Linked DNA regions of Oryzias latipes. The protein of the gene in region 2 interacts with the protein of the main gene of each other region in a pairwise test. Links are inferred from orthologs where the notes say so. Each region holds a gene or a part of one and is shown on either strand. Other genes may lie near its edges.

Evidence for each region.
Region 1: the proteins of meox2 (region 2) and 5'-AMP-activated protein kinase subunit beta-2 interact in binary tests that used the Homo sapiens proteins (3 or more experiments, as listed by UniProt). The link is inferred for Oryzias latipes from reciprocal best matches to the Homo sapiens genes MEOX2 and PRKAB2.
Region 3: the proteins of meox2 (region 2) and hat1 interact in binary tests that used the Homo sapiens proteins (3 or more experiments, as listed by UniProt). The two-hybrid records come from large-scale screens. The link is inferred for Oryzias latipes from reciprocal best matches to the Homo sapiens genes MEOX2 and HAT1.
Region 4: the proteins of meox2 (region 2) and kdm8 interact in a two-hybrid assay, tested with the Homo sapiens proteins (2 studies listed by BioGRID). The two-hybrid records come from large-scale screens. The link is inferred for Oryzias latipes from reciprocal best matches to the Homo sapiens genes MEOX2 and KDM8.
Region 5: the proteins of meox2 (region 2) and transcription elongation factor A protein 2 interact in binary tests that used the Homo sapiens proteins (3 or more experiments, as listed by UniProt). The two-hybrid records come from large-scale screens. The link is inferred for Oryzias latipes from reciprocal best matches to the Homo sapiens genes MEOX2 and TCEA2.
Region 6: the proteins of meox2 (region 2) and gpatch2l interact in binary tests that used the Homo sapiens proteins (3 or more experiments, as listed by UniProt). The two-hybrid records come from large-scale screens. The link is inferred for Oryzias latipes from reciprocal best matches to the Homo sapiens genes MEOX2 and GPATCH2L.

What each region holds. Positions count from the first base shown.
Region 1 is NC_019875.2:22,987,785-22,992,008, reverse strand, and holds the start of 5'-AMP-activated protein kinase subunit beta-2, read left to right. Parts: upstream 1-1,424; 5' UTR 1,425-1,746; intron 1,747-3,214; 5' UTR 3,215-3,230; coding exon 3,231-3,389; intron 3,390-3,459; coding exon 3,460-3,617; intron 3,618-3,716; coding exon 3,717-3,810; intron 3,811-4,224. UniProt on the Homo sapiens protein: Non-catalytic subunit of AMP-activated protein kinase (AMPK), an energy sensor protein kinase that plays a key role in regulating cellular energy metabolism.
Region 2 is NC_019874.2:31,200,353-31,203,852, reverse strand, and holds part of meox2 (homeobox protein MOX-2), read left to right. Parts: intron 1-2,625; coding exon 2,626-2,798; intron 2,799-3,500. UniProt on the Homo sapiens protein: Mesodermal transcription factor that plays a key role in somitogenesis and somitogenesis and limb muscle differentiation. Required during limb development for normal appendicular muscle formation and for the normal regulation of myogenic genes.
Region 3 is NC_019879.2:21,992,579-21,996,078, forward strand, and holds part of hat1 (histone acetyltransferase type B catalytic subunit), read left to right. Parts: intron 1-2,673; coding exon 2,674-2,850; intron 2,851-3,244; coding exon 3,245-3,366; intron 3,367-3,500. UniProt on the Homo sapiens protein: Histone acetyltransferase that plays a role in different biological processes including cell cycle progression, glucose metabolism, histone production or DNA damage repair. Coordinates histone production and acetylation via H4 promoter binding.
Region 4 is NC_019866.2:7,579,115-7,583,250, reverse strand, and holds the start of kdm8 (jmjC domain-containing protein 5), read left to right. Parts: upstream 1-1,336; 5' UTR 1,337-1,479; intron 1,480-2,229; 5' UTR 2,230-2,253; coding exon 2,254-2,709; intron 2,710-3,122; coding exon 3,123-3,295; intron 3,296-4,136. UniProt on the Homo sapiens protein: Bifunctional enzyme that acts both as an endopeptidase and 2-oxoglutarate-dependent monooxygenase.
Region 5 is NC_019865.2:27,292,963-27,296,462, reverse strand, and holds part of transcription elongation factor A protein 2, read right to left. Parts: intron 3,044-3,500; coding exon 2,938-3,043; intron 2,735-2,937; coding exon 2,635-2,734; intron 1-2,634. UniProt on the Homo sapiens protein: Necessary for efficient RNA polymerase II transcription elongation past template-encoded arresting sites.
Region 6 is NC_019880.2:13,367,053-13,371,032, forward strand, and holds the start of gpatch2l (G patch domain-containing protein 2-like), read left to right. Parts: upstream 1-1,180; 5' UTR 1,181-1,287; intron 1,288-2,997; 5' UTR 2,998-3,011; coding exon 3,012-3,673; intron 3,674-3,980.

The DNA.
Region 1 (4,224 bases), on a different chromosome or scaffold from region 2:
GCTTTAATGCTAAAAGAAACAATTTATGTATTTTTTCCCCTTTTTTTTCTTCGCCCATATGAATCAGGTTGAAAACGCCTCAATTAGTAACTGCTTTACAGCAAATGTTGACCAATCAGGGCTGTCTGGTCTTTTAAGGAAAGGAGGCTTTTAAAAAATAAAAGTAAGAAAATAGCATCATGAAAAACATATCAGGGGATAATACTGTCATGTATCAATTTTTTTTCTTTTATATTAAAGCATGTAAAAAATTTAGGCAAATAAATTCATGAATATCAAAAATGAACATCAGAAATATGGTCTTTCGTTAAAATTTAAAAATGAGTGACAGAATAAAAGTGTTTGGACATAAATCCATTGATGTTCTTAACCTGCTGTATCCCTTTCGGGGTCACAGAGTCCCCAGAGCCTGTCCCAGCTGTTGGGCGAAGGTGGGGTACACCCTGGACTGGTTGCCAGTCGGTAATGGAGCCACACACTCATAGCTACACTAAGGGACACTTTAGACTCACCAATTAACCTATAAAGCATATTTTCGGACTTTAGCATGAAGCCAGGGTGCCTGGAGAAAACCCACACAGAAAGGTCCCAGCTGGTATTTGGACAAGGACCTTCTCGCTGTGAACTAAGAGCACTCACCGCCACAGTACAGCCCTGGACAGAAATACGCTCACTAAAAAATAAACAAAATTCAATTTCTCAGTTAATGTTGTAACTTAAACTTTTTAAAACATTTTATAAACACCCGCAACCAAAGCAGTTGTGATGTGATAGGTGAGCTGATATTGTAGTAACAAATTGCTGGGGAGGGGGGGGGGAATCACACCTTATCATTTCCACAATGTCATTTAAATCATTTTGTTTACCTTGATGGAAAAAAAGCTATGATAGAATGAAAAATGCCAGGGATGTCAACTCAGCTGTTTTACCTAAAATACAGTGTATTAAATTAAGTAATTACAACCCCCCTAAATAATTAATCACTTTGAATCGAGAGTACACATAGACAACAATACATATTAAAATGAATGAGAAACACTTATGCTCATTGCATTAACGTCATTAAATGACTTAAGTAACACAATAATTTGTATTTTTTTATGCAAATTAGGGTAAATCTTTTTTTTATTAAATAAATAGTATACTTGATACATCTATATGTTACATTTTATAGTATAAAAATGTCTTTTAATTTCATTTCATTTTATTTGTAAAAAAAAATTACATTGACTAAATTGTACATTATTTGGATAATTTTACTACAACCACTATTAAGAAGAGACACGACACCAAATAAAGAATTAATTACATTTATTTAAGTATTTGTAAAATTTCATAAAAATGTTTTTTTTTTTGTTTGTTTGTTTACCGGATGTTGTTTTTGTCGCGGCTGACTGCTTTTTTTCCTTTACCGACCGCCGTAGTTGTAAAAAGGGGAGGATCTTCGCTGGTGTCACAGACTTTCCTGCTGCTCTTCAACACAAATCATCGCCTCAGCAGCGATAGGCCGAGCTTCTAACCCTTTTCGGTTCTTTTAAATGACTAAAAACAACAACAAGTACTCTATCAAATTAGTTAAATTGTTTTAGTTGTTATTTACACAGTGAAAGGAGTTCCCGGTTCGAAAGCAGAGTGACAGCTAGCTAGCTGCTAGCTGACTTTAACAGCGACCAGCAGCTAAAAATATTCACCAGGACAGTCGCGAGGTAGGCGGGCACAGCAAAAGCGTCCTGCGCAGTTACCACGGTAGGTTACAAATAGTGTGTTTTGTCATACGAACTAAGCTTTTTATTGATTCGCAAGTCATTCGGTTGTAGTTAAAGCAGATTTTCGAAGGGACCCATCTGTGTCCAGGGAAGTTCACTGATAGTTCATGATGCTAAAAATACCTTCTAAACGTGGGTAGGTTAGCTGTTGTGAATATTTTTATTTTCTTTATAATCTAAAGATAAACGTATCGTTGTTTTCCACATCATTAGGCTGTTTTGTTTTTTGATTGATTTATTTTTAAATATGACTCTGGATCATCCTTAGTTCTAAGAAGAAAAAAACAACAATCACAACTGATGATTTGATGTTTTTTATAGCTATAACTTTAACTCTCACGAGTAACACAATTTTAGTTTATTTTCTGTAAAACCAGAGTGTGACATATGTGAATGTCACACAATGTGACATAAAGCGAAATAGGATTTGCTGTTTGTTGACTAAAGCCAAGGCTGATCAGTGTTCCATGAATCCAGCAGTGTCACGGTGAACCCACCAGTCTACAGTGTTCAGCAAACACCTGCGCCTTTGTAGTAAATAGAAGCTTTTGTGCCCTGAGCTTTTAGTTTTTTCTTTTTTAATTTGATCGTTTATCTATGTTGTTCACTGAAACCTCCTACTATTTTATCCTTTAAAATTAAGACATCTTAGCTTGTAAACTAATTTGAAGTGATGGACTTGATTATAGTGTGAAAGGTTTATACTGCTCATTTCTATGTAGGGGGAGGGGGGATCAGTGTCTCTGTGGGGACGTAAAAGGTGATGCTTGTGAAAACAAGCACCATCATGTGATCAAAATTCAATTAGAAGTTGTATTCTCTTTTAGGTTTTTAGTAAAAAGTACATTTTACTATGATTATTATAGAATAGTTGCATGTCGTTAACTTAAACCAATCTTATCAATGTTTTATGATACAATATTTTTTAAAAAGCTTACTTTGGTACTTAAGCAATTTTTGCCTAACATTACTTTCTTGTAATTTCTTAGTAATATGAAACAAAAGTTATCCTAGAGTTCGCTTAAATCAGATCATCTTTACAGAGTTCACTTTTTTTTTAGCAAGGGAGTTGAAGTCAGTCTGGCTCTTTACTTGGTTCAAATTAATAACTGAAAAAGGAAAAATAAGGAGAGGAAAAACTGTCACCAGATGCATTTACATGCCCTTAAGAAACCGAGTGAAACTGTGTTTACAGAATAGTTTCAAGTTTGTTTTTTGGCATTAATCTGCTCAGTGAAAAACAAGTTTTTCAGAAAAGACTTACATTGTAAACTGTTTGAAAAGACGACAAAAATCCTCTATGAAAGCAGAAAATAATAGAAAGCATCTGATAAATATGAATAATAAATATCCTCAATGCAAACATGAATGAACATTTGTCATAAAAGTGTTATAAATAATGGTTTAGTTCCCACTTCAAGAGTTTCTCCCCCCTATATTTTGCACAGTAAGCAGTGAAGCATCATGGGTAACACAAGTGACAGGGTATCTGGAGATCGGCATGGAAACAAGGCCCATCGTTCCGACAGCAGCGGCAGCCACAAAGACCAGGAGCACAGCACCAAGATGGTGGACAGCACAGATGATCCCAACATCTTCAACACCTATGGACCTGAGTCTAAAGTAGGAATCCAACTACTTCACTATATAATCTCATTTCTTTCATATTATAAATATTTATGTTTGCTGTTAGGGGCTAGGAGATAAAGAATTCACCCCGGATCTGGATGACCTGGTGAAAACTGCCTCCCAGGCCCGTCCCACAGTGATTCGCTGGGGTGGTGGGGGGAAGGAGGTTTATATCGCAGGCTCTTTCAATAACTGGAACACTAAGATTCCACTGAATAAAAGGTAAACCGTTGGTTTTACATCAGTTATACTGGTGTCGAATGTGTTTTGAAGTTTTGTCATCGTTTTAATATTGTTTGCTTTTTCTTTCCCTCCTCAAAGCCATAATGACTTTGTTGCCATTTTGGACCTGCCTGAAGGAGAGCACCAGTATAAGTTTTTCGTGGATGGACAGTGGGTTCATGATCCTTCAGAGGTACCCGAGTCATTTTTCTGTGCTTGTAGTTTTTGTGGAAAAAAGTTTGAGCTCTGCTGGTTTCTGGGTTGCAGTCAACATCAAAACCTAAAGGATTAACTGAAAGCGTTAACAAGCTAATTTGCTGGCAACAAGTCATCTTAACTGAATATGAAGTAACATGGTTGAAGCAATAGGAAATGTTTTCTTGGAGTATAAGTCAGTAAGAACAGATTTTAAGCTTGGCATTGGTCAAAACTTGTCAACTAACCCATCTAAAACAGATTGGACAGGATGGTTCTGTATGTTTTATAATTTCATTTTTAATTGTTTTTTTTTACCCCTTATTCATGCAAATATTCATTAAACAACTTCTGCTTCAAACTTACCTTAATCTAGCATCAACTTAAAAAGCACAAGCATTAGTGAAATTGT
Region 2 (3,500 bases):
GAGCCGAATTCTCCGCAGGTCCGTCTGCTAAACACGTTCTGCTCAAATAAACAGGCAGAGCCAAGAGCCACATCTGCACTCGTCACCTCCAAAGGGCCGTCAGCTGACGCGGCGCCCGGCTGCAAGCGTGAAGCAGACGGCCACATGATAACAATGAGGGCTCATCTGACTGCCGGCGTGATCGAAAACCCCATCCCAGGAATGACTTCCTGTCACGGACCGTAAACAGGAAACGCCCCCAAAAAAACCTGAAAACAACTGAAGGAGAGATTTCAAAATAATGAACTGAGGTTTGGGATAAATTTAAGAGATGACTAAATATTAGATATTAAATAAATAAAAATTATATTTTCAAAAAGTTCACTCTGAATTATTTCAGGCTAAAAATCATTTTTAATTAAAACATTAAAAAAAATTTGTTTTTTTTAACTAAAAACTACTTCAGACTAATTTCTTCTTTGCAACTCAAAATGAGTATATAAGATAATTAGGATAAAATATAAAGATTACTTTGTGATCAACCAAAAAATAAACAAGAGAAATGTTTAACTCCTGAATTTGTGGGTCAGAGCTTCGTCTCTTTGGGCTCAGAGAACCTCTGTGGGGATCAGCTGAGCGGTTCCGCTGTAGTCGCAGACAGAACCGGAGCGGATTCATGTCAGGGTGTTTAGGGATGTTTTTTCCGCTGGTCTTCGTGGTCCTGAAGCTTTGCAGACGACACGTTTCTTTGATTCTTTCAACCTTCATTGGTCACTACAAAGGTTCTGATTTTCTGTGAGCATCCAGACTGAAACCACTGGACATTTCATCCAGAAGAGTATAATCAAAGCTTTTCACTGTGCCTGCTGTCAAAGAGGCTTTTTAAAGACAAATCCATGGATCTCCTGTAACCACTTTATTTTTTATTGACACCGTAAATGTTTGTGACTGAGATCTTTGTTCCTGAATGTAGTAGAAGTTAACTCACAACTGTTGACAGCAGTGGAAGTAATCTGGTTTCTATCCTATACCATCATTTATTCTGCAGGAAGTCCAGATGAAAGTCAGAAGGAGCCGGCATGACAGTTTTTTTGTGTTTAGTCTTCAATCGCTTTGAGTGTTGCGATCCCGTTTATGGGTCGGCCTTCCTGATCCCTTTTCCAGTTCTACGGGCTCTGAATCCCACCGCCGCGCTTCTCCCCACGCCGATGGTCAGAGCGGGCTGCTGACTCAGGCAGCTGTCTAAATATCAGAACCCTTCGCACGAGACCCTGCTCACATCGGGTTTCACCGTCCGGGCCAGAAACCGGAGTGAAACCTGAATTTAGATGCAGCAGAACCTGAGAAGTCCCTTCACGTTGAACCCATTTCACCCGTTTGTTGGTGTTTCCTGCCGTGAAGCGGCGGCGTGAGCGGATGAGTCGGTGGTATTTAGTTTCAGGGAAACTGCCCCTCTTTCCCCCTTTTTTTGGGGGGGGGGGCTCGGGCCTCGCAGAGGGAGGGCAGCTCAGCCAAGTTTATGGAGCTGTCAAGGGAGTGGTGGCGCTTTTAAAAAGTTACCAGATTTTTTTGTGGAACAATAAAAGGTGCTTGAAGTCTTACTTTGCGGAGGCATCGTCGTAAAAGAGCAGCAGGAAAGTGTCCGATGCCTGAAAAAACAAGTCTGAGAAGAAAAGCCGTTTGTCCTGGAAAAAGCAGGAGAAAAGCTCGGAGTCGTGTGTGAAGAGCTTCCCTCACGTCCCCAAACGGCATGCCCCGTCTGGGTTTCCTATGTTTTTCTCAAATTATTCCGGCTTTTTTTGTGGCAAGATGAAAGTTGGAGCAGGGACCTAATTGCTGTGGTGTAGCGGCTGCGCCATAAAAACCTTCTGCTGGTTGTAACTCCAGCCCTGCTCGGCGGCTGCGTTACGCTCCGGATTTTCCTTATTTTTTTTTTTTTTTGGTCTTTTGAGGTGGTGTCTGAGGGAATCGGGGAGAGCAGAAGTTTCAGAGATGGAGTCAAGGTCAAAGGTCACCAGAATGCCAGCGGCAGGCCGGGAAGTCACGTGTCTAGTGTCGGAACATCTCAGGAGGAGGACTGCATCTCAGAGACAGCAGAGAAGCTGCAGGTCCGACGGCAGGAGTAACGCACAGAACCGGACCGCAGATGAATTAGCCGGCAGTTGCTGCTGCCATCCACCACCGTCTGCACTTGAAGCTCATCCAGCAGACAAACCGCAGCTCACAACTGGAAGGTTCTGGAAGCCAAACGTGTTTTCTTTGGAAAGTTGTGGGAAATATCCACAACACAAAGCGTTTCTGCAGAGCTGGAGGGACCGCGACTCTCCAGCCTGAGTTGTGCACTTTTGTTGTTTGAAACGATTCCGCCTCCTGAAGGAGGATTTTCCTGACAACCAGTGAGTTTAATGAAATGAAAGCTGCAGATTCTTCAAATCAAATCCCTGTTGGGAGTGAGGGCCCGCCTGCAGCCGGGGGCCTCGCCGCAGGCCGCCGCCGCATGTGCTGCTGTCGCCCAGCCGCTGAAAGAATTCGGAAACACTGACAGGCCGCTCTCCCCGGTGCTTTTAGTTTGCCCCACTGTCCTGCACCTGCCCCCCAGCTCTGTAAATCTGCTCCCATACCAACTCGACCCTTTTCTGCTTTCAGAGTCCCAGGACGGGAACTACAAGTCTGACGGCAGCGGCAAACCCAGGAAGGAGCGGACGGCCTTCACCAAGGAGCAGATCCGCGAGCTGGAGGCCGAGTTCGCCCACCACAACTACCTAACCAGACTAAGGCGCTACGAGATCGCCGTCAACCTGGACCTGACTGAGAGACAAGTAAGTCGCAGCTTGGTCCCCCCGGGTTTCCCTCCATTAGCACATTAATGCCGTGTTGTGAAAACAGAGCTGGCCTCAGGACGACGACTGGCTCTCTGTAGCTCCGTCTGGGGGCTCCAGATGTGGCCACGGGACGGGGGCTCTCATGTTCCAGATGTTCCCTCGGGCGGAGGGAAGTTCTGTGGAGCTCGCACTTCCCAACACCAGAGCAGCAGACAATCGCTTCAGGGAAGGAAGCGGCCCACTACCTGTTGTTGTCGGGAAACCTTCTGCAGGAAAGGCAGAGGAAAATCCACTGCTCCCCAAAATATCACTTGAGCTTTTTTATGCTGCTTTTCAAATCCCAACCACTTTTGTGTTTTTATCCGATTTACTCTTAAAACATCCACAAAGAAAATGTCCCAAAATGGACTTAATTTGTGTTCTTAGATGTTTCTAACCTTTTTCTTCTCCTCTTTGTTGGCAGCAAACAAACATCAGAGACATTTTTCCTCCAAAGTAGATCCTTGAATCAAATTCTTCTATCGTTCCCAAAACTGCAGTTAACAGTCAAAACAAGCAGGTTGTGATGATTTTATCGGCATTTGTTTCCTGGAAACGGATCCAAGTCGACGCCGTTCTGACGGGTCTGTTATTTATGAATCTTTAGCTTCATTCATCAGAAACGCTTTAAGGATTATTTGAAGAATGAAGGTAAATTTG
Region 3 (3,500 bases), on a different chromosome or scaffold from region 2:
TAAACACAATTTATAGATCCAGAACTTAACACAGTTCTAAGATAAACGTATACTAGGCAATGTTACGCAACAAATAAATCAGAATGGTCAAGATTCATCATATAACAAATGGCTCCTACAGATATTTTTTAATTTATAAAAACCACCAAAAAGAACCCCACCAATGACGGGCTCAGTTGCATTTTACATTCAGCCAGTTTGCTGATACTTTGGAAGTATCAATAACACACACAATGCTAAGAAGAAGTTCTGAAATATGATAAACGTCAATGAAACCAATTAGAAACTGTTCTCAAGTTAATCTGTTGTGTAGAACTAGGTTTTATTATCCCACAGTAATAACATAATATGGATTTGTCCTACACAACAGTAAGTGCATTGCTGGAATATAAATCATGTAATTACTATATGAAAAACCATTATTATACCAGACAGACTGTAGATTGCTGAATTGTTTGCAAATACGAGAAACTTTACTGATTAGGAATTTTATTTTAACAAATGATGAAATCCAGAGGTGTTTTTGAGTCAGTTGGCTTTCTTCCTCTTATGTTGTCACTTCTCACAACGGACAGTTGACCTGTCATGGATCATTCTGCCATTTTTTTTTACCAAATATGAAGCTTTTCCGCATCATAGTGGTAAATATGTGCTGATTAAAAGAAAAAAAATGTGTACAAACTGAAAATGTGATAAAACAAAATGGACCAATGACCAACATGAAATGGACGTGTTTGTGATGCACTGGCTGTGCAGGTTGTACAAAAAAAAATAGCATTGCAAACATAAATAAACAGACTTGGTTGATAGTTTTAATGATCCTGGAGGAGCAGCTCTGCTCTCTTTGTAAAACTTCATACTTTTTTGTCCCTTTGGCCCACTCTCTTATTTACATATCAAGGGCTCATATTTGGACAAAAGCAGGCTCTAAAGGGGAATGCTTGTCCTGCTTTCTGCTTCTTTGAGACGTTACAAAAGACCACTGGCACCTTTTGAATGCGATGCAACAAACATGCTAATGCAGAAGCAGCAATTAGCCCAGGCTTGAGGTCAAATGATTCAACTCGAGGACATCTGTCCTGACTGTCCTGGTCCGAGCTGTGAGAACTGAGAGGAAGCGTGTGGAATGCTGTTGAATTTTAAGCTGATAAAGTAACAAACTTCAGGGGTTTTTTTCTTTTACAAATAAAAGAGCCGTTCCAGTCGCTGGAGATGAAGCTAAAATGTGATGTGCCACTGCTTGGAGTTGAGCGTTGACCCCTAAGAGTCGGTTCACCTTGTTAAGGGTTTGAGTGCAGCTGGCGTGGAGACAGAGAGCGATGGGGAGCAGCAGAGTTCAGGCTGCATCTGAAGAGGGTTTGTCTCTGAGTGCGTGTGGACGGTCGGGGTGCGGTGCAGCTGGCGAGGGACGAGGGGAGCGGCAGAGATGGAATTGATGCAGCTGCCGCATTGATAAAAGACTGATCAGAACTCACCTTCTCCCCTTTAAAAAAAAAAACCAAGCTAAAAGCAGCACGCTGCTGGAAGTGACCCAGAGATCCCGATTAACGCCAAAGTTTCCTTTGTGCAAATTGGCTTAAAACTCAAAACAATCTAGACATTTTTTATAAATGATATGAATTAGCTGTTTAAACAAGTAAACTTTGAGAAATGGAATTATTGCAGGTTTTCTCTGAACAGTAGATTAAAGAGATGGAATAACACTAATACAGCAAATTAGATAGTTTGTACTCCTTTTGTGGCTATTGTCAGAAATCAAAGACATTAACAAACTGCTCTAAAAGAACATTGTTTGGTTTTATTCACTCCGAACCAAGGCATCTATTCTGGATGGCTGTGCAATTTAGTGTCTAGTATGTAGGAGAGTGGCCGAGACAAAGCGATTTGTTTGTCAATGGCCTTTTAAGTGTGGTCCTAGTTCCCGAGAAATCTGGCTGAACAATTACAATGGTTAAGAGGTATTCAGCTGCAGGTGCATTACTTCCAGTTAGATATTAGCTGATGTCTGAAAGGAGGGGAATTAGCAGGATGTTGTATTAGCCTTTTGTAGTGCATTTTGCTCCGACCTTCTTCATGTCCCAGTTTTTAATGCCGAACAGCAAGGGTCTGTGTGCAGCCATAAAGCCCATCACACATGTAAATGGTGTGAAAGGGCTGCTCAGCAAAGTGTTCTCATGTCAATCCTAGTGGAAATGGATACAATGCAAACATTACAGCTGAACTAACCACACATTGCACTGAGTAAAAAGTCTGAGGGACGGACGCTTTTGTCTCTCGGGCTCTTTGAAAAACCGACGGGCAAATTCATTTGATTGGGTTCACTTGGCAGGATTAGAGGAGAGGCCTCTATAATGCATGGCCCTAAAGGTTTGTTAAGTTGGGGATCAAGTCATAAGATTTCATCTACTATTAGGAGGGAGGGGGGAAATGCATTTATTGTGGCAACTTCATCAGGTATTCATGGTTTAGCATAAGTAGTAAATGTATGGATTGAAGTGGGCTGGTAAAGGGGGCGAGGGGCGGGGGTGGGCTCTGCTCAGCTGACACTTGTAATTGCCTGTTTTCTTTCCAAAAAAACTAAACACACACTTGCTGGTTTAGCAGAAACGTGACCAAAGTGCGACCAGAAAGTTTTCCAGTCCGTCTGGTCTGATGAACTGTTGTGTTCTTCAGCCCGATGATGTGGAGGGGAAGATCCGGGAAATAATTCCCGCCGGGTTCACCTCGAACACGGATGACTTCACCTCGCTGCTGGAAAAGGAGGCCAACTTCAAGCCCTTTGGCACCCTTCTTCACTCATACACGGTCCACAACGAGGAGGCGGGAGAGTTCACATACCAGATTCACAAGGTACCTTCACCTCAGTTTCAGTTTGAAGACCCACTCCGACGAAATTCTTTGTTTTTAACATGTTCTCGTGGCGGGTTTTGAATGATGTATAAAGGAAATAAAGCTCCAACGTGCATTTAGTTGCGAATCAGGATCAGAGTTGTTTGAAAAAGGCCGTAGTTGTGATATTAAGCTCCCTGCTCTCCCTCTGCTTTGCAACAGAGAATGGAAGGGGGGCGGGGTTGCTCTGCGTCCACAGTCGTGCCCACAACAACGCTAAAAAACGGCATAATCGAAATGAAAAGACCACTGGGAACCCTTTAAAAATGGCTCAACACGTTATCGGAGCTGGTATTTGACGTCCATTTGGATCACTAAAATGATGATTTTCTTTTTCCCCCCGGGTCCATCCCAGGTGGAGATCAGCTGCCCCGGATTCCGAGAGTACCACGAGCGCCTGCAGACCTTCCTCATGTGGTTCATTGAGACCGCCAGCTTCATCGACGCCGATGATGATCGCTGGGACTTCTTTCTTGTGTGGGTGCCCTCCTTAATTGACACCAACCCCCCAGCTTTCAAACCAAAGCCTTTTTTGTGTCATTGAAAAACAAAGGCCCCCTTTGAGGCGCTTGTGACCAATTACCAGGCCAGTTTGATTATATTTCCCCCTG
Region 4 (4,136 bases), on a different chromosome or scaffold from region 2:
AAGAAAAAAGCAAAAAGTAGTACACTTGAAGTATTTTTTGTTAAGTATGCATGAATGTAAGTATATCAAGCATATTATAGATCAGAGGTCTGCAACATCTAAAGTGAAAAGTGTAACTTGGGTCTACATCTTAACACCTAAAAACATGCAAGAGTTGCAAAATTCCACTTCACTATTAAGAATAAATTATATTTTTGTGACAATCAGGCCACTCATTCATAAAACGGCATAACGGCTGCACAGCTTTAAAATGTTTTCAATATTTGCAGTACAGCTGTTTAATAAATATATAGCAATAAAAATGATATATTTTTCTATTTATAACAATTTTAAATCTTTTTACTTTTGAAAGTTAAACAAAAAGTTCCTTTCAAAATAAAATGCATCCTATGTCAAATAAGACAGGGCTAAAGTTGCAAGAATGCCAAGTCAAACGTGACATTTACCATCAAATGACTTCGGTGCACTGTCATCCTTTTTCCATTTCCTTACTATCCAAAATAAGCATGACAAGATTGGTGCAGAATACTGGTATTTTTTTTTAGATCCAAAGGCTACTGCAACCAGGAGCTTTGCCTCTGAACATCAACCAGACACTTTGTACAGCCAAAGATAGTAATATGTGCTTTATATGCATCCATATCATCTTGCTCAGTTATCTGACATGTTAAAAATCGAAACATAAATAAAAACCTAACGAAAATAAATGTACCTAAACAAACACCCTACTGTGCATTTTTCTTCAAAACCAAAAAGTCATGATGAAGGGACAAAAGAGTTGCATGTGGCTCCAGAGCCACAGGTTGTGGACTGTTGCAGACCATGTAAGTGTAGAGTAGGAAGTATACTGACTGAATACTTTTTAAGACTAAATTGTTACATTTAAAGTTTACAATATATGCTAAAGGTAGTAAATAAAAAATAAATGTCAATTATAGTGTCTCAATTTCAGCATTCACCAGGCCCAAGAATACTTGTAGTAAACTTAAATAGTATGTTTTGCTAAGGGGAATATTACTGCACACATGCAATACCATGCAAATGACAATTTAAAAAATGTTTAGAGTGTGCATATTCATATTCTCTACAGGTGTACTAAGATTTGAGCATAAAAAATGCAATGCCACTATGATTTTACAACATAATTGGTGTGTAGGGTGAATACACATTAAGGAGCTTCTTAAAAATGAAAGGGTACAAAATGTAATGTTATCATATTTTTTCAAGTGTTACATCATGTACTTTTGTAAATATTTAAAAAGGTTTTCAGGGATTTCGCAGTGTTTTTTGACATCTTTGAACCCTAGATGGAACGAATGTTTCCCGCCGCTGAGTTTCCCTCCGGTGGGGTTTTGTCTGCCCACCGGCAGCGGATTTTTGTTTTGCACCTTCGTTAGCTGTCAAACCTCTTTTTTAAATTAAAAGTAATAATGATAAAATAAAAGATCTGATAAACAGTTTAAAATCTGGATGTGGAAGGTAAAATTTATTGTATTTATTTCCAATTCAGCAGTACGTCAATACGTGTTTTCATTTTGAATAATTTACGGTAACGGTGTAATTTAATTTTAAATATCCTGGGAGTATGGAACTCAAAAGGTGTTCTGTGTTTTTGCAGACTAATTAAATTACCTTAAAGCAACAATGCTTTGTTTTGTAACGTGGGTACCTTTTAAGATTGAATCTAGAAATGGTATAAACCATAGTTACAACATTCTATTGAAAGGAGCAATTATATACATTATATATGCTAAAATAAAAAAGATCACGTGTTAAAATCTATTTTGTGGGATTTTCTACAATCTGAGAGAACCTCGGGGTCAAAGTATTCCATAAAACCATTTTTTTTTCAGCTTAGTCAAGTCAGTACTATTTCCACAGCCATGTTTGTGTCTGTGTAGAAAGGAATCAGGTGCTCAGAGTTTGCCTGTTGGCACCTTTGCAGGAACTGATGGAGTCATGCAGAGGCAGCATTCCAGAGAGCCTGCTGCAATCTTGTCATTCTGCCTGAGTCTCATGCACGGTTCTGGCTCACTGTAGCCTCACCTGTGTGCTTTGTTTGCCAGTTTGCAGGCTGTTGAAGATGAAATAAACAAGCATCCTCTGTGAGGATGTGCTGATAGGAGGCAGATTTTTTGCACTGATTGCCCATAAGTGATCCCATTCCAGCCTCTGAACCATTGTGAATGTATATTTAACATTTTCTTGTGTTCTTTTACCTGTGTTCAGAACAGAAAGACACTCTTCTGATCGATGTCGTCTCTTGGGTCAAAAATCCTCTCCACTCTGCCGGCTGATGAGGAACAGTTCCCTCTGCAGTTCAGCGACAAAGTAGACCCAAGCGTGGTGGAAGTACTGAGGCGCTGTCGGAAGCAGTTGTACGGTAACGCGACGTGCGCCAGCCAGGGGCTCAACGCCCAGATCATTCTAGACATTTCATGGGAAAGATTGAACACAGGGACGTGGCGCCACGTGGACAAGGAATGGAGACGGGTTTACTCGTATGGCTGCCTCTTCAAAGTGGCCGCACTGTGCCGAGAAAATCCATCACAACAGGAGATCCTGGAGGCCGTCAGGACTTGTGACATGGGTTTACTGATGGGTGCGGCCATCATGGATGACATACTCCAGGTTCTTGTTCGAATTCTGCAAAATGAAATAAGCGAAACCAGTAAAGACGAGGAGAAAAGTGTAGAAGTTGTTGCTAAGGTTTGTTATGATTTTCGACACAAAATTACTAAATGTTTTTGTCATTTTGCTCCATCGCTGGTTTTTATTTTTCGCACATGCTAATCCTTTTCATTTCTGGTGGCATTTCATGAAAAAATTGATGCATAAAACATTTTTTTCTATTCCTTTTGCACTTGCCTTTCTCAGACCCGACATGGCTGAGTTTTTTAAATTCACACTTGATAAATGCTCTTTCAAAACTAGCTGAAACATTCAAGGTTGCTGCGAAGAGCTGCACAAAGTTCAAGGATTTTTGGTTATTTCTTCCTCCTGCTGCTTGTTTTTTTTTTAAGCTTGTTTTTTTTTTTATGTTAAGAGGGAGAAAATAACCTTTTACACAGTCCAAACCACATTTCATTGACATGCACGTCTTTTTGTTCTGTCACGAACAGAAATTAAAGACTGAGGGCCCCCGCAGTCCTTCAATCAGAGAAGAGAAGGCAGTGCCCAGGATCAAGTGTCCTTCCCTGGAAAGCTTCAGCACAAACTACCTGCTTCCCCTCAAACCGGTGATTTTAGAAGGAATCATTGACCACTGGCCCGCTCTCAACAACCACCCCTGGAGGTTTGTTTTATTCTCAGGAAACACTAAACTATGGCTGTCAACAGGGGGAAAAAATCATATTTGACTTGTGTTTCCCATTTTTTTTTTTTATTTTGATAGTTTGTAAAACTAACAAGTCAAAAATGTCTTGTTTTTGAAACAACACAGTCTTTCTAATGTTTAGAGTTCTCTGATGCTGCTGAGATGACTGAAACACGCAGAGGAGCATGAGAGTCCTTCATGCTGTGTACAAACATTTACAGGTTTAAGAAACCATAAATAAAAGTTGACATAGTGATGCTGTTTAAACAAAAACGTTTTTTCCCCTGTATTTTATGTTTTAATTTTCAAGAACACATTTTCATCTTTTAAAACAACGCCCTCCAATCATTCTGCAAGCTTTATTAATTTTTTTAAAAATAAACTTGACATCATTTTTGCAAGGATGTCGACCTGATTTATTCAAAGCAGCTTTCTAACTACTTCTTGTGGTTCGATTCTGTCAACCAGCATGACAAAATCCCAGAAAGAAACTTGTAGGTAATAAAAAGCATTAAAAAACAAACAAACTCCATAGGAAAAAACCTTATGAAACCCCAAGGATGGAAATATTCCCCCCAAAAAAGTACAAATGTGCTCAACTACAAGCTAGTAAACCGATTAGGTCTGGTTTAAAACAATAGATTCAAAAAATTCCTGTATTATTTCAGGGACAAACACTGAAATTGAAGGAAAGTAGCAATGGCAGCTATAAAATAAAAGCATGGGGTGGGATTCCCCTGAAGTGTCCTGTGACACTTCAGAAGTGAGAAGTGGGACAAATATTAGAGTTCTGTTCTGCAGAAACAACAGAGTAAAGGAT
Region 5 (3,500 bases), on a different chromosome or scaffold from region 2:
CAGCATCACACAGTTGCAGCAGATTTGTCGGCTGCACATCCATGATGCCAATCTCTCGTTCCACCACATCCCAAAGGTTCTCTGTTGGGTTGAGATCTGGTGACTGTGGAGGTCATTTGAGTCCAGTGAACTCATTATCATGTTCAAGAAACCAGTCTGAGATGATTCCAGCTTTATGACATAGTGGCTTATCCTGCTAGAAGTAGACATCAGAAGATGGTACACTGTGGTTAGTTTCTGGTCAGCAGCAATACTCAGGTAGGCTATGGCGTTGTAATCATGCCCAATTAGTAGTACTAAGAGACCCAAAGTGTGACTAGAATATATCCACCACACTATTACACAACCACAACCAGCTTGAACCGTTGATACAAGGCGGGATGGATTCCTGTTTTCATGTTGTTGACGCCAAATTCTGACCCTACCATCTGAATGTTGCAGCAGAAATGGAGACTCATCAGCGTCTTTCCATCTTCTATTGTCCAGTTTTGGTGAGTCTGTGTGAATTGTAGCCTCAGTTTTCCTGTTCTTAGCTGACAGAAGTGGCACCTTGTGTAGTCTTCAGCTGCTGTAGTCCATCTGCCTTCTGCAGACCTCAGTTGGAACCAGTCTAGTCATTCTCCTCTGACCTCTGGGATCAACAAGGTATTTCTGCCCCCAAACTGCCGCTCAATGGGCATTTTTTCTTTTCCGGAGCATTCTCTGTAAACCCTAGAGATGGTTGTGGGTGAAAATCCCAGTAGATCAGAAGCTTCTCAGGATTGAGCTGAGCAGGGAGCTTGAGGCCCACTCAGTGCATTTTCTACATCACAAACAAGTTCTTTAGCTAATAGTATTTTTCCTTCTGCTCCTGATTTATCACTCAACTGTTCACGCAATTAACTTTATTCTATTTCTGAAAGCAACTTTTCACCAATATGCAACACTTTATGTTAGTTAAGTGATTTATATTAATTAAGGAAGTGGTTGAAGAATTAAAGGGTTAAACATCCCACCCACAAACTAACACACAAATGTTGATTCATTTAAACCCAAGGTGATATATTTTAAGGACAGCGGAGAGACAACGTTACACCCTCCGCTGTGAGGGTGTAACGCGTCGCGCTGTACCGCAGAGGAGAAATGGATTTCATTCATGTGGGTGTGCTCTTATACACAGACCTTCACCTTTAAGTACCGTAATCACTTTTTGTTTAAGCATGGCTTTTTCAAGTGAAAACTGGTGTTATGCATTTTCCCAGTGCTGGCTGCTACTCGCCAACAAGGATGGCCGGTGACTATTGTCGATGTCATAGAGTGAGAGTGACGAAGAATTTGAGGACACTATTTTTCTATATTTCTCTGTTTGGAGGGCTAAATGCAGGGGTGGGGAGACGCCGTAGGGGTAGGGTATGAATTCAGATACGGCTTAAAAAATTGTGATATGTGAAAAAAAAAAATCTCACAATTTTACCCTTTAAAACATCGGAGCTGTGGCTCCAGCATTTACAGTCTTTCGACTCCCGAAGCTCTTCAACTGTTCATGTAATTAACTCAAGTCCAATGAATTCTGAAGCAGAGAAAAGCAGTCAGTGTATCAGAGCGTCATGATGAGACACTTTGTTGATATTTTGTTGCAAATACAATTTTTTTTTTTGGCCGGTGGTTTAATTAACGGGAAGACCCAATAGAGTAGCAAAATGTTTTCTCCCACCCATTTTTTTCCTAAATGTTTGGAACTTTGCTGAGGTGCCGTCCTGTCCCACTTCACTCTTTATTTATGCAATGTAGAATCCTGTAGTGGACATCATAGATGACTCGTTCAGTGAATGTTTAATGCATATTAAGGTGTTCTTGGGTTATTTTTCTTTTGGATTCAAAGTTTTAGGTAAAAAAGTCCATATATGGATCTTCTGAGGTCCTCGGAACACTAAGCACCATATTTTCATGGCTATAAGGCGCACTTAAAAGTCTTAAATTTTCTCCAAACTGTAAGGAGCGCCCTATGAGGCGGTGCGCCTAATGTGTAGTTGTGGGACTATGGCATAGGAGCAGTAGAAGACGGCATAAGAACCAACTCAGTTTTTCTCCCGCTGCTTTTCTTCCACAATGAGTGTATATGGTTGCTTGCTGAAATGTGTGTGTGCTTAGTTCCCGCGTGCCGCGCTCCAGTGTTTGCAAAAGGGGGGGGCAGGCATTCAGCAAAGTGAGGGTGTGAGCGCGCATTCAGTTTGTGTTACTCAGAACAGTAACTAAAAAAGGTCTTCCTTCAAAAAAAAAAAAAAAAAAAAAACAGAGACTGGTTCTATTATGAACCCGCTCTGGAGGCTTTGAGGGTCCAAACGGGGAAGTGAACCCCCGAAGGAAGATCCGCTATAGACCCTGAGAGGATCTCCCCCGCGGTCAGAAACGTCATCGCGGGAATAGTTCAACACTAGAGTGCATGTTTTACCGGTATGCTGTGTTAACGTGCCCACGCCTAAACACCCGGTGCGCCTTTTGCATGTGTCAAATACCCAAAAATTACCTATAACTGAGAACGCACCCTGTAACCCGGTGCGCCCTATAGTCGTGAAAATATGGTATATCCCTCAGAGGTTTGTGTTTGTCAAAATATATTTCTTTTTTTTAACATTGTGTTGTATCTTCACAGACCTTTTCCCACTGCTGCCAGAGTCGCTCGAGGTTGACGATGACCTTAAAGGAGAGCCCTCCTTCTTCTTCTCCTTCTTCTCCGATTTCCCTTCTGAACCATCTATGACATACGACACAAACCACCCACACAGACATGACAAACAGACAATGCAGCGTTTCTTTCATGGCTTTTCTGTCCATATCTGCCTTTAGACCTGAAGAAGTGTCCCCTGCAACCTCAACATGAGCTTTTTTCTCAGATCTTCACAAATTCAGTCTAATCTAAAAAAGGACAGATGAACGCACATAAACACACACACCTACCCAGCAGTCTTTTCCAGGATTTGATCAGAGATTTGGCCAGAGTCTGCACCTCTTCATCAGAGCTCTGCTTCCTCACTGCGTTCACCGACATCCCAACTCTGGTCGACTACAAGCCAGGAGCAAAAAAAAAACAATCAAAAACTTAGTCTTAGGGCTGGGGCGGCGCTCTCTTTCCCCCCGTGCCTCCCTGCTCTCTGGCTCTGGGGGCCTCACTGCGGTCCTGCTGGTCCTGGCCTGGGTGGCGGATTTGGTCGCCCGGGGGGCGGTTGTCCCCTGCCTGCTGCCGTGTGGCGTTGGGGGGTTCCGGCTGCCGCTGCTGCTGCGGCGGGGGTCCTGGTCTGGGGATGGCTGGGCGCTCTCCTTCCTTCTTTATACATTCCACCATCCATTTTAGAAGAACATAAACACTCACCTGAGCACAGGTGTTAGCTCACCTTTGCACTAATAGTTTGCATGATTGAATGACTGAAATATTTCACACTAGTTGGTGTTAAGGCATAAGTATGCGTGTGTGAACACTATCTGTTTTGTGTACATGTTGACAGGTGGACATTTTTGCAGCT
Region 6 (3,980 bases), on a different chromosome or scaffold from region 2:
ATTGCAGATGGTATAAATAATCCTGTCCATATTAGGATTTTTGTCATATTTCTGTTGTCTTTTTTTTATTATTACTTTATAAGTTTTCAATGTTAGGCTTAACACTGAAAATGAACAAACAATGTAAGCAGCCTAATCATTCGAGACTGGATATTCAGCAAATAAACGGGCTTAAAGATGGAGGGCAAATTGGAAAAAACTGGATGTTCAGAGGAGACAAAATTAAAAGAATCAGTATACTACCAGATCACCTTTGGCTCCCATATTCTCCAAGAAATGTATTTTTGAAGCTTTAGCCAGAAGAAAAAGACCAACACAGAACACTGAACAGGTACTTTACATTTATTTTGCAATTCAAATAGTTCGTTTAACCCTTGTGCTATCTTAGATGACCCCACCCTTACTTTGACGTGTAATTCCTACCATGACAAAGGTGGATAAAGGTGGAAAGATTTCATGTAATCCATGGACAACAGTGAAGATCACAAATCATTGAAGAAAAAAGGTTCAGCGCACTGTCTAGTGGGTCTACATGACCCAACTCCCAATGGCAAAGTGCCTAGGATAGCACAAGGGATATTTGTATATTTTTCAGATAACTTGGTTTGATCCAAAAGAATTGTCAACACATGAGTGAATTGTGACAAATATCGCTCATGAGGTGCATAAGACAAAAAGATTGGAAATCTGCCTCATTCTGAGGTAGTAAAGCTTTTAGCATTATTTTTATTGTCATTTTGTCCATCATTGTTTAAGTTTCATTGTCCCTTGAAACCTACAATCTCAAGCTGCATTTAGTGTTTCTGAATATCTGTAGCAGCCTATATAATGTTACAATCGTTTTAATGATCTTACTCTCCTTAAATAAAAGAAGCTAAAAGTAAGATATGAAAATAGTAAGAGGGCAAAACATGGTGAAAAAAAACAACAAAAAGGATTTCCCATATAAAAACCTGGAAGCTTTAATTCACACCAATAAACGTATAAAATAAAAGAAAAACATATTGTGTTCTGACAAAAAAAACAAGAAGAAAGAAAACTACTTGGTAAATTTATTTTAAAAAAACGTGAAGACATTAGTTTCAGAAAGATTTAACAATTTTTTTGTAAAATAACAGCAACAAATCATTTTCTTGTCAGCTTGAGGCTTCCTGTCTGCACGCGCTGTCTGCTGTCGCAGCTGTACGTCACGGTGACGTAGAATCTGCTGATTGGCTGTAGTGCAGGGCGGAAGTGCGTGTACGCCCCACCAGAGGGCTGACAACAAAACAACACGAGCAGAGACAGGTGAGTATCACAATACCGTGAACTCCTTTTATTGCTCGCGGTTCGTTGTCGGAGCGGCTGCGTGAGCTGTATGCGTGAGACCGGTCGGCGGGCGAACAAACGGCTAGCTTTGCTGACATTGAGGGCGTAGAGCAGTGAGGTGTCCTTGTTGCTGATGTCATGTGTGTGAGCTGTTATGTAACAGACAGCAGCAGTGAGGGACCATCACCATGCAGATAGATACTACAACCTGCTGCTGTGCTGTTGTTTTTGCTGCAGTCATGCCGCACAGATTCCCAGCAGTTTTTCTTAGCTAATTAGAAAGACAACGCGATGGTTTCGCTTTTCCTGATGATAAACAAACGTTCTCAAGGACAACAGCAGTGATCATTGCTCATCCGTGCTAGTAGTAAACCTGTCATTACAAATATGTCTTATGTCTTTTCACGTTTACATTCTTCTTTTAAATTTTAACACAAGTAAACATACTAGAGAAAATAAGATAATCTATAATTTATAGCCATGTTGGTTTGCTTAGCTTAGCATTTTAGATTAGGACAAATACTTGTCGTTTATATTCATTTTCTGCTAAGAAAGCTGCTTTAAATGACAGCAGATGAGATCATCATACCATCAAAAGAATGGAGAAACATAATACAGACAGGAGCTGCTATGTTGGCTTAGCTCTCGGGCTGCATACGAGAAAAACTCACTATGTGCGATATTTGTGATCATTATGAATGATGACGATATCAGAATCATTTATTGACATTATAATAGCAAATTGCAATGGAATTTTGATCAGCTCTGGGAAATATAGGGATACAGAAGGCATCAATGTGCAAAGATACACGTGATGCATGAGCAGTTAGCAAAACAAAAAACATTTTTTTTTAATTTAACCTTTATTTAACCAGGTAAGCCATTAAGAACATGTTCTAATTTACAATAAAGACAACTAATACATTGTTTCCATTTCACTGTAATGGTTTTATTTAAATGAAAGTCAACATATCTTAAATTGAACTTCAAATGACCTCTCGTCTTCACATGAGGCAGGAATCTAACATTAAAGGGCTGCTTTTCATTGGTGAAATATTTAAAAAGCTCTGTTTGATTCACCTGCTATGAGATTGTATTCACATGTATATAAACACTAAAGGTAACCATTTATCCCATAAACTGGGATAACTGATGATGTAAATATATGTAGTCCAAGAAATGTCTTTTTTATCTCCTGTTGTAAATAATATTTGATTAAAACTTCTAGCTTTTCCCACAATAACATAATTTACATGTTTTTCTTAAATTCATTTGTCTCTCATGTTACCAAGAATATAATTATTAACGATATATACAATTAGCTAACCCTATATTATCGGTTCTTTGTGCTGACTGTTTTAATTGAAAAGTGTCAACACAAATGTGTTTAGAAATCCCATTTGCTGTCAAAATGAACGGATGTGTAAAAAGCATGGGAATAATAAATGTCATTTTTGTATAAGTACAAGCTACTTTACTTTTGAGGACCTTGTCTTTTATAGAGTGTTAGTTTGTCTTTTCATACAAAATGATTTTGCTCTAGGCTCTTCAGCATTTGCTTCCTTTTTGAAAATATTATGTTTTTTCATAAAAGACAACATAGACACCATATCTAATCCAGACAACAATGTTACAGTTTATGCTAATTTGGCGGTCACTGCAGATTTTAACCGTCTTTTGCTGTGTCAGTCATTTCCAGCACTATGATGGATGAGCTGGTGCAGGACCTGGTGTCAGCTCTGGAACAGGCCTCAGAGCCGAATAAGCTGGGGGAGCTGTGGGAGGAAATGGTCCTGAGTCCACTGCAGCATCGGCGACAGATCCGACGCCGCAGGGGACGCAAGAAATTTCACGAATCCTCCCTTTATCCATTGTTTGCCAGAAGATGCTGGATTGACGCCTCGGAATCCAGTTTAGATGAAGCTAAAGACTTCAGGGAGAACTCGTCCTTCACTTTTCCTGCATCGGTGGCCAACTGCAGTGACTCTGACGACATGTCTGCTACCAACCACTGGTCATCACTTGTGGGGGGCTCAGTTAGGACGAGGCAGCCCTCTTGGCCAGAGTCTGACTCCTTCACCGAGAATAATCCAGGACGGCCACTCAGGAGGCGGAGGAAGGTGAAGCGTATGACTTCCGGGGTGACCTACAGGCTGCAGCAGAAGCTAACAGTGTCAGAGGTGGATCGCAAACAGAGGCACAGACCGCCTAAGGTACACCGTCTCTCGGGATCCAAGCGAAGATCTGGTGGCTGGATGAAGAACGAGAGACAGAGTGAAGGAGGCAGACTGCTGGGGAAGAAGTGCTGGAAAAGGAAGATGACGAAGGAGCACAGAGACGCTGCTGATGAGAACATGTCTGAAGGGTAATCTAAAATCCTTCTGGTCCTTTATGAAACATTTCCATATTTATCACTTCAAATGAATTCACATTTGTGAAACACTTTTAGCAGAAATGAGCATGTTTAAATTCAATATAATCCTTTGAACAGTTTCTTTCTAAAATTAAAATGATATCTTTTTCTATTTTAGACAGTAGCAAAGAAACAATAGAACCCTTGGTATTATTTGTATTGAAAATCCTTATTATTAGTATTCAGAAGGCCTTCAAACTAGTTCAAAAGGGGAATATCCCGATGAAGTCCCTTCTGTAGTCTTGAGCTCATATTCAAA